Linked DNA regions of Rattus norvegicus. The protein of the gene in region 2 interacts with the protein of the main gene of each other region in a biochemical or structural test. Links are inferred from orthologs where the notes say so. Each region holds a gene or a part of one and is shown on either strand. Other genes may lie near its edges.

Region 1 (4,035 bases), on a different chromosome or scaffold from region 2:
GGCAAGCACACAAGTTACTGAGTCAGGTCTCAGCCTTAAAAAAGAAAAAAATCAGTTTAATAAGAACGCTGGGCGCTAAATTTAAAAGGTACTAAAACGGGCCAACGTTGAGAGAGCTAAGAGATTGCTGCAATAACTCAGGCAAAAACTGACACTGACTTGGTCAAAGTCAGAGCAGAGAAATAGGCAAGAAATGGGTGAATCCTGAAACAATCTATACCAGTGGTTCTCGACCTTCCTAATGTTGCAACCCTTTAATACAGTTCCTCATGTTCTGGTGACCCCCAACCATAAAATTACTTTTGTTGCTACTTCATAACTGTAATTTTGCTACTGCCTTGAGTCATAAATGTAAATATCTGATTATGCAGGATAGCTGATATTCGACCCCTGTGAAAGGGTCATACAACAGCCCCCACAGGGGTCACGACCCGCAGGTTGAGAATTGCTGATGGAGACAATACAGTGGGATGTCCTTGTTTTGAGAATCTGCAAGTTTTCATTACAACCTTTTTCCAACCAGGACTTTAAGGGTTCCCCAGTAGACTTCAATTGCAAGCAATGAGAAGGCCCTGAACTGCATTTAAAGTCACACAACAAATGTCAATGGTAATATCATTAGGACAACGGTCAAAAACAATATGTCACCCTCTCCAGAAAATTATTCACAGATTTTATTTAATGGGTCGATTTCAAAGAGCATACCTGGCACCTGCTGCTCGTACTAACGTGTGAAGCTGTTTATGCCCACATCCCCACATTTTTCCTTCTGTGCTAGCTAGCTAGCTCCAGAGGACACGTGCTCTTGTGTGCCATTCTTGCTGACTGTGAGAAAGAATAGAACCAAATCCTTCTACGTGAGTGTCAGGGCACTCGTTGGTTTTCCCCAAAGGTACTTTCCTCACTCCCTAAAACTCATTTAATGTAACAGCCACCATCCAAATGATTCGAACAGCACAGTTAATTCATTTCTTTCAGCAACACACACACACACACACACACACACACACACACACACACACACTCCCCCTCATTCTGGCCTTGTAAGCATTTGCTTATAGAAGCAAAAGCAGGGACTGCTCAGTAAAACACTGGTCCCTTCAGCCACATGCAGATAAAGCTCTAGTGAGCATAACCAACAATACGCCTTACACAGTGTCACTCAGAGCACCCAATACACCCCATCTACGGTCACATACAAATAGCCTTTATGAAAAGAAGCCACTAGTGAAAGGCTGAGTTTATGCATCTTGATGCCTAACACATTTCCTTCCACTCTGCCACAAGCATGTACAAAAAGCCTGCTCGAGCAAGAGCAAACTCTTCCCAGAGTTTGTTCCCATTACTGGATTCAAGGTCCTGCCCCAGCCCCGAAGGAAAGGAACCTGGCTCCACTCTCCAGCAGTTAAGACTCAGCTTCCTTCTCTCCCAAAGCAAGGATTCTGCCCCTCACTTCTGCCTCCCTGGCTCCTGAAAGGGAGGCCCTCCGCCCCTTTGCCAGGTAGGAAGTGGAGACCTCACTCATCCAGACCCTAGACAGTCGAGGTGATGATGCTTCCTGGGTTAGCCTTACTTCATCTCACAACCGAAAGGGTAGAAACAAAGTCACAGATTCCAGTGACTACCCCCTCCCTCCATAAACATTACAAATAAAAAGGGCTTCAAGGGTCCAGAGTGACCAAGGAGAGTTATAACCAATTCTGCCAGACAAGTAGCAATGAAGGGTGGTGTGAGGGATAACAATTCTGCAGAGGTACTGACTGTTAGGAGGCACCAGACTAGAGAGCATCTTCACTCCAAGCCCAAAGTTCTTGAAGCACCTGGAGAATTAAATGTGTGTAGCTGCCAAGGAGATCATTCCCAACCACCACAGGCCTCTAAGATAGCTTAATTGCTCCCTCCCTTCCTTTAGCATTTGCAAGGAAGAATGGGGAGACACGCCCACCCGCAACCTCCCCCCCCACCCCCCATCCACCCCACACACACTACCTCCCGCCCAGGGCGCGGGTGCTGTTCTGTGGGAGGTGGAAGGTAAAAGCCAGGTGAACTTCACTTAGAGGTCTCTCTAAGTAGTATGTCCCAGGGGGGCTAGACTACAAGGGAAGGCCAGTTCATTGCTACCCTGAAGCATCAGATCTCCATCCACCCCAGGCTCTCCCTCTCGGAGCCCATCAGCCTGCTTAGGATCTTCAGAAAAATTACTCCTGGTAGCACCAGATCACCGTCCCTGTCCGGTGCTCCTCCTACCCCACCTCGCGCCGGGTACCGCCCCAGCCCCCATCCAGCTCAGCAGCTGGCATCTGCAGTCAAGGGTCCCCAAGCCTGGATGACCCATCCCAAGAGACTCACGGTGTCCCAAGAGTGCCACTGTCAGATAACCTGGGATGCGAGCAAGTCATCTGTGAGCAGGACCCTAAATGCCAGGGGCTAGGTCGCCCTGTACCCCAAGCAAGGGCACGGGGTCCTTGTCCCAGAGCTATCCAGACTGGCTGTTCTCCTCCCAGGGTAGCAGGCGCCGGGCCCTTGGGCCTCCTGCCGCGCCTCCCTCCAGCTGTCACCACTCACCTGCTCTTCAGAGGTTGACTTTTGAGTTCGTAATAGGTTTTGGGTTCTTCGTGAAACTCCTCCCCGACTTCGAAATCCGCCACGATTCCCGATTCAGACTGCATGACTCCTGCTTGCCCGCCTTCCACTGCTTGGGACTTGGACCAGAACCCGGGCACCTGACAAAGATGGGGAGGGCCTCGGGTACCCCAAGACGCGCGCCCCGCTCAGTGCCCCACTCAGCCCGCTAGCCCGCTGCCCGCCCCGGCGCGGTGAGTTTACTCTCACACCAGGGCGGGAGGGGCCGGGCCCGGTGCGCTCTGGGATTTGTGGTTCTGCCCAGGCCCAGCATACCAGCTCTCCAGGATATCAGCTTCCGCAAAACTACAATTCCCAGAAGGCCAAACCGGGGAGAGGCAACGTGGTGTACACCGATAGTGCAAGTCCTGTTTGGATTCCTTGTCAATGTCAGCAGCTCCTCTCCGTGTCTCTCCCGTTTGCCTCAAGGATACAGACCTGGCTGTTTAATATTAATAAGAACGGACTCAGTCTGGGCTTCTACTGTCCCTCCTGGTTTAGACATCTGCGAAGACACTCGGAGCGTTCATTCAAAAAAATAAAACACTAAGGGGTTTTGACGCTAGAAAGTTTCGGTCAGAGTTAAAGCCCATTTTAAAAATAAAAGTGCTTTCTATTCGCCCCCGAGCTCTTCTGGGCTGCAGCGACACATCATTTTGTCCTCAATTGGAACAGAGTGTTGGAAACTTCACTTTTATAATGAAAGCGTTATTGGAGGAGTTGTTCTTGTGCCTTCCTTTTCTGGAACTCCTTCTGGGCTCCCAGAATACTCTTCATCCGTTGAAAGGCTTCTTTCCTTTTATCCAATTAGTCACCTCTAATCTAAAGCAGCACTTGAAAGATTCAGTTAATTTTAAAAGGCACCAAGTAACCAAACAGCTCACCACCGTCTGCTTTCAATTTCTCAGTTGGCTGGGAGTTCAAATGAGATTGTCCTAACATTGCATGCCGGTGCAGCTTCGAGGCACTCGGTTAGGTGATTATTAAATGGCTGCACTTTGGTTCATTTGTATGTCCAGACCTGTCTTCTGGTTAGTTCCAGCAGGACTCTTCATCGTGTATAAACAACAACGAATGCTTTGAGATATCGGTGTTAAGGGTGGCATTTTAAGATGGTAGAAATCCCCAGTTGTTCTAGGAAATCCTGTGCAATCTTAGACATGTCTGTTTCATTCCTAGAAACCTTAATTTCCTCATCTATGAAAGAAGAGATTAGGAAACCTGTTTGAGATGGTGTTGCAAGGTCAAAAGTAAGAAAAAAAATTACTTGCAATTTATATGCACTGGGGGCAGGCAAAATGGTTCAGCCAGTAAAATGTGTTTATTTGCAAACACAACCTGCAATTGATCCTCAGGACACTCGTGACGAAAGTAGGGAACTGTTAACTCCTGAAAGCCAACTTCTAACAGACA
Region 2 (4,242 bases):
GGACAAGGCGGGGATGGGTGTACCTGGATGTGAGAATCTGCTGCAGCTGCTGGGGAGTGAGTGCAAAGGTAAAGTGGGCTTCCTCAAACCTCTGACTGGAGGTGGACGCTGTGGACACAAAGGCACCGTCATTCCCAAGCCCCTGCCTGAGAAGCTACTTGCTTCCATCCCACACTGCTGATCCTTCAAGAGTAAAACCTAATAGGAAAAATTCCAGCCTGAACCAGAATCCAGAAAGCCTGAGAGACCAGTCAGCCATACCAAGGGTGGTGGGCCGGATGAGCTCTCCGTAGACTTCGTAGAAGGGCAGTGGTTTCATGGTGACGTCAGGGTGCACAGGCTGGGGCAGAGGAGGGTGCATGTCCACCTCACGCTTAGGGCCCAGCAAGGTGCCAGGGGTCAGGAGGGTGGGAGGAATGGAAGCAAGGGGGCTGGGGGAGCCTACAGGAGAGGTGCCAGGGGGCAAAGAGAGCAAAGAGAGATCGGAAGGCCCCAGGGTCTTCCGGGGAAAGCGCCTGCGGTAAAGTTCTTTGATCTTCATCTGGACGCTGGGGGCGCAGCTAGACTTGAGGAGGTGCAGGGCCTTGGCCAGCAATTCGTGCTTCCGCCCACTCTTGTTCCTGCCAGCGAAGCCAAGGAGCACCTGGAGCTCAGACACCCGGAAACTCATCACCATGTGCTGCGGAGAAGAGCACAGAAATGATCTGGCTTCAAAAAATGGCTGTCTGCTGGTGACATGACAGCTGAGCTACAGGGGGGCAGTGCCTCTCCCCTCCATCCCCAGTGCTGAAAGGCGTCCTAAAGCTAGTGTACTGACCTGAGTAGCTGACCTGACTGACCAGCTCAACACACGAGGACCACCGAGCCCCATCCCTAGCCCTAATACAGACATTCCCTTAAGCAGATTATTGTCTCTTAGGCTCAGACTCTCAGAGCCCTAGGCTCCAGGGAAAAAGATAGGACACAAGGAAGGAGGATTCAGGGCAGACAGCCCCATGAGAAAGAGGCCAGCTGGCAAGAGGATTGCAATCCACTGCCACCCTCCCAGTCACCTCAGTCCATCCCTGTTCTCCCCATAGTTCTGAACTGTAACGTTTATCGTCAGAGTTCAACACTCCATCGTCGTCATTGTCGTCGTCATCACCATCACCACCACCACCACCACCACCACCATCATCCCCACCTTTTACATTATTTACACACTCACACTCCTTTATTCCTGTTTACTAAAAGGAAGCTACCAAAATTTGTAGGGGAGAAAGGTAAATTCAAAAGTCTAGGTAAGTGGCCAGATTTACTCCATTTGTCAGTGATAGGTTACTTCTCTGTCAGTGAAATGAGCCAATTCAAACCAGAGTAGATTAGATTAAAGGCAGGTTTATTGGGAAGCTTCCCCAAGGGAGTCGCCACGGGTGGGGGGGGGGGGTGTAGGGGGAGAAAACACAAAATGTCTGGATTATATAGGAAAGAGCCTTGGGGGTAGGGCAGCCCAGCCTCTGAGCTGGAAAGTTCAGGGTTGGAAGCATGGTATGCCAGGTAGGGACTGAGGGATGCTGAGAAAACTTGGAGGCCCTGTCCACTTTGATATGTAAAATGTGCACCTCAGTCCCCTGTCTTGGGGTCTGAAACCAAACAGTCTGGAACTACTATCTTGCTTCTTTCCCTCATAGATGGTATACATAGCCACCAGGGTGAAAACCAAGGCAAACTTCTCAACAGAGACCCCAAGAGACTGGGAACGGGGTCCATGAGCACAGAAGTAAGTGCTTAAAGGTGGATGGTCCAGTGGCTAGAACTCAAGCTTGTCCAGGACAAGGATGGTGCTAAGCCAGAAGGGGGGGGGGGGGAGAATGACCTAAGGTTCTGTGGGATAGCTTCAGGTGTAGTTCCCTGAAGACTGTGTTTGGGCTGGGGAGGTGTAGGGGACCTCTCTCCTTCCAGGGCTCCCTTCTGTGAATGTCTAGAAGACCTAGTCACCGGCAGACCATTAGTCTCCCAAGTTCTCTCCCTCTTGAGCTCCTTTTCAGGAATGTGATGAAAACACTGTCCCTCTACCTTTCCATCCTTAGCTCCTCCTACGTGTTTGTATTTCTCTATTGGCTCTATAACTTATTTTTCTGTCCAATGGTTCACACTTCTCTACCTCTCCCAACGACAGCACCTCATTAAGACAGTTCCTTACCCTCAGCCTCCAGGATGCTCCAGCCTCAGCTCTTAAGGTACGCTCCTGTACAGCCCCGCCTCCTTACGTCTCAGCAGCCTACCAGTACTTCCCAAGGCTCAGATGCCGACAGCAGCCCCAGAGCCTCCACCCTAAGCTTCACGTCCTCCAGAGCTAGCCAACATTTGGTCCTCGGGTCCCATCCCTACGTCTCCCCCTCACTGCCATATCTCTGGGCCTGATGGACTCACCCCTACGCCTCTAGAGCAGCTTTTCCCCGCCTGACTGTACCCAGCAACTACCTACCACTAAAAGCGGCTACGGCCCGCGTCCCCGCCCCCTGTGCCTCGGCCCTCCAGGCTACAATTCCCCCTCCGCCCCACCCCTGCATCTGCCCTGCGGCCCCGCCCCCGGGGCGCCGCCGCAGCCCCTTCTCGCGGCTGCTGCCCGCGCATCCCTGCATCCAGTCCCTGCCACGTCGCCCGCTGCGCCCAGCCTGGTCGCCTCCCCGCCTCGGCGGGCAGCCGAGCGAGTCCTGCTGGGGCTGGGGGAGGGGGCCGGTACCTTTAATTCGCCCAGCTCCGCCATCTTGAGACATCGCAGGCGCCCCAGCCCGAGCCGGAGCTCAGGCCCAGGGACCGGCGCAAACTCTCCGCCCCAGCGCCGGCCGCAAAGGCCGCCTGCTCCGCCCCGTCCGGCCCCCTACACCTCCCCTTCCCGGCCCCGCCCGCCGGGCTTCGGACCGCCGCCGGCCTCGCCCCTTCTCCTGCAGCCGGGCGGCCGGGGCAAGTCTCCGGGCGGCGGGGGACACGGTGGCCCCGCAGGGAGTGTGCAGCCCGGGGATCGTGGGGCCCTGCGGGTAACGACGAGGAGGCGGGCCCGAAGGGAAGGGCTTTTAGGGAGCCAAGGATACTTGAAAGATGGAGGGAAAGTATCCGGAACTGCCGGAGCTCCGAGAGATGGGGGAGGGGCGGCGAAGTTGGAGCCCCTGTCCTCCGGAGATCTCGGCAAGTTTAGTTAGCGAAACCCCAGAGTTCTGTCAACTCTGGGAGCAATGCACTCTGGTCATTTTGGGGGAAGTTGGGAACTTGCAAACTGTTGGAGGCGGCTGTTCCCAATCCTTCACCTCCCCCCGAATACACAGCAACTACAAGCGTAGCTCCTGCTAGCGCCACAGGACTCGAGGCTTGACAGGCAACAAAGTTGGGTGCGGAAAGCAGGACTTACCCGCAGAGTTGTGGGGGTGGGCCCCGATGTAGGAAGGGCTCGCGCCGCTCCCGCAGTCTGCACGGCTGGAGTTCGGTCCGACAGCTGGACGCTGCAGCCGCAGCACCGCCCGGGCCAGAGCTCCGCCCGTCCGAGCGTTGCTGCTGGGGCCGCCCCCTCCAGGGTAAGCCCGCCAGGACCTCGGAGAGGGGAGAGGGGCGGAGCCCAGGAGCGGGGCGGGAGATGTTAACTCTGGTGAGCACTTAGGAGAGAAGAGGTTCTGGACTTTCAAAGTCTCAGCAGTCCTTTGATCACTTGCCGGAGTTGTAGGGGCTGTACTGGGCTGGACCACGAGGCAAGACTGTGTGCATTGGGAGTCTGGTTGTATAGAGAGGCTCTAGGATGAGATTTCCATCTGTCTGTGGGAAAACTTGGGCTACAAATGGAAAATTAGCAACCTAATCCCTATAGATAGCCCTCTATCCCCCAACCTCCAGATATGCTTACAGTAACTAGGGATTCCACAGTTGGTGAACACAAGGAGGTACACGTACAGAAGAAACACTTCTGCTCCTCTTTGAAATGCCCCCTCCTTTCTCCAAAGTTTTGGCTCCTCCAGAGGGCCCTGTCTAAACCAAGTTGGCCACTTAAACTGCCAATTTCAGTAATTCATTTCAATATCTATAGAGATAGCTACTTTAAGGCACTGTGCCTTATACTGTTATAGTAAAACCTCCACATTTTATAGTTGTTTGGGGCCTCAGGGATAATGCCATTTGTCATTTGTAAACATTTGAAAAGGGGGGAGGTAAATATTAAAGTGCTAATCAGGGATTGCTAGGTGCTGAGGGCTTAAAACTGTTCGAAAGCTCAAT

Evidence for each region.
Region 1: the proteins of Pias3 (region 2) and Mitf form a complex in vitro, tested with the Homo sapiens proteins (2 studies listed by BioGRID). The link is inferred for Rattus norvegicus from reciprocal best matches to the Homo sapiens genes PIAS3 and MITF.

Annotation. Positions count from the first base shown.
Region 1 is NC_086022.1:131,964,506-131,968,540, reverse strand, and holds the start of Mitf (microphthalmia-associated transcription factor), read right to left. Parts: upstream 2,802-4,035; 5' UTR 2,670-2,801; coding exon 2,566-2,669; intron 1-2,565. UniProt on the Homo sapiens protein: Transcription factor that acts as a master regulator of melanocyte survival and differentiation as well as melanosome biogenesis.
Region 2 is NC_086020.1:186,920,690-186,924,931, reverse strand, and holds the start of Pias3 (E3 SUMO-protein ligase PIAS3), read right to left. Parts: upstream 2,805-4,242; 5' UTR 2,750-2,804; coding exon 2,726-2,749; exon of another isoform or gene 2,159-2,725; intron 1,760-2,158; exon of another isoform or gene 1,671-1,759; intron 1,281-1,670; exon of another isoform or gene 1,145-1,280; intron 680-1,144; coding exon 262-679; intron 109-261; coding exon 24-108; intron 1-23. UniProt on the Homo sapiens protein: Functions as an E3-type small ubiquitin-like modifier (SUMO) ligase, stabilizing the interaction between UBE2I and the substrate, and as a SUMO-tethering factor.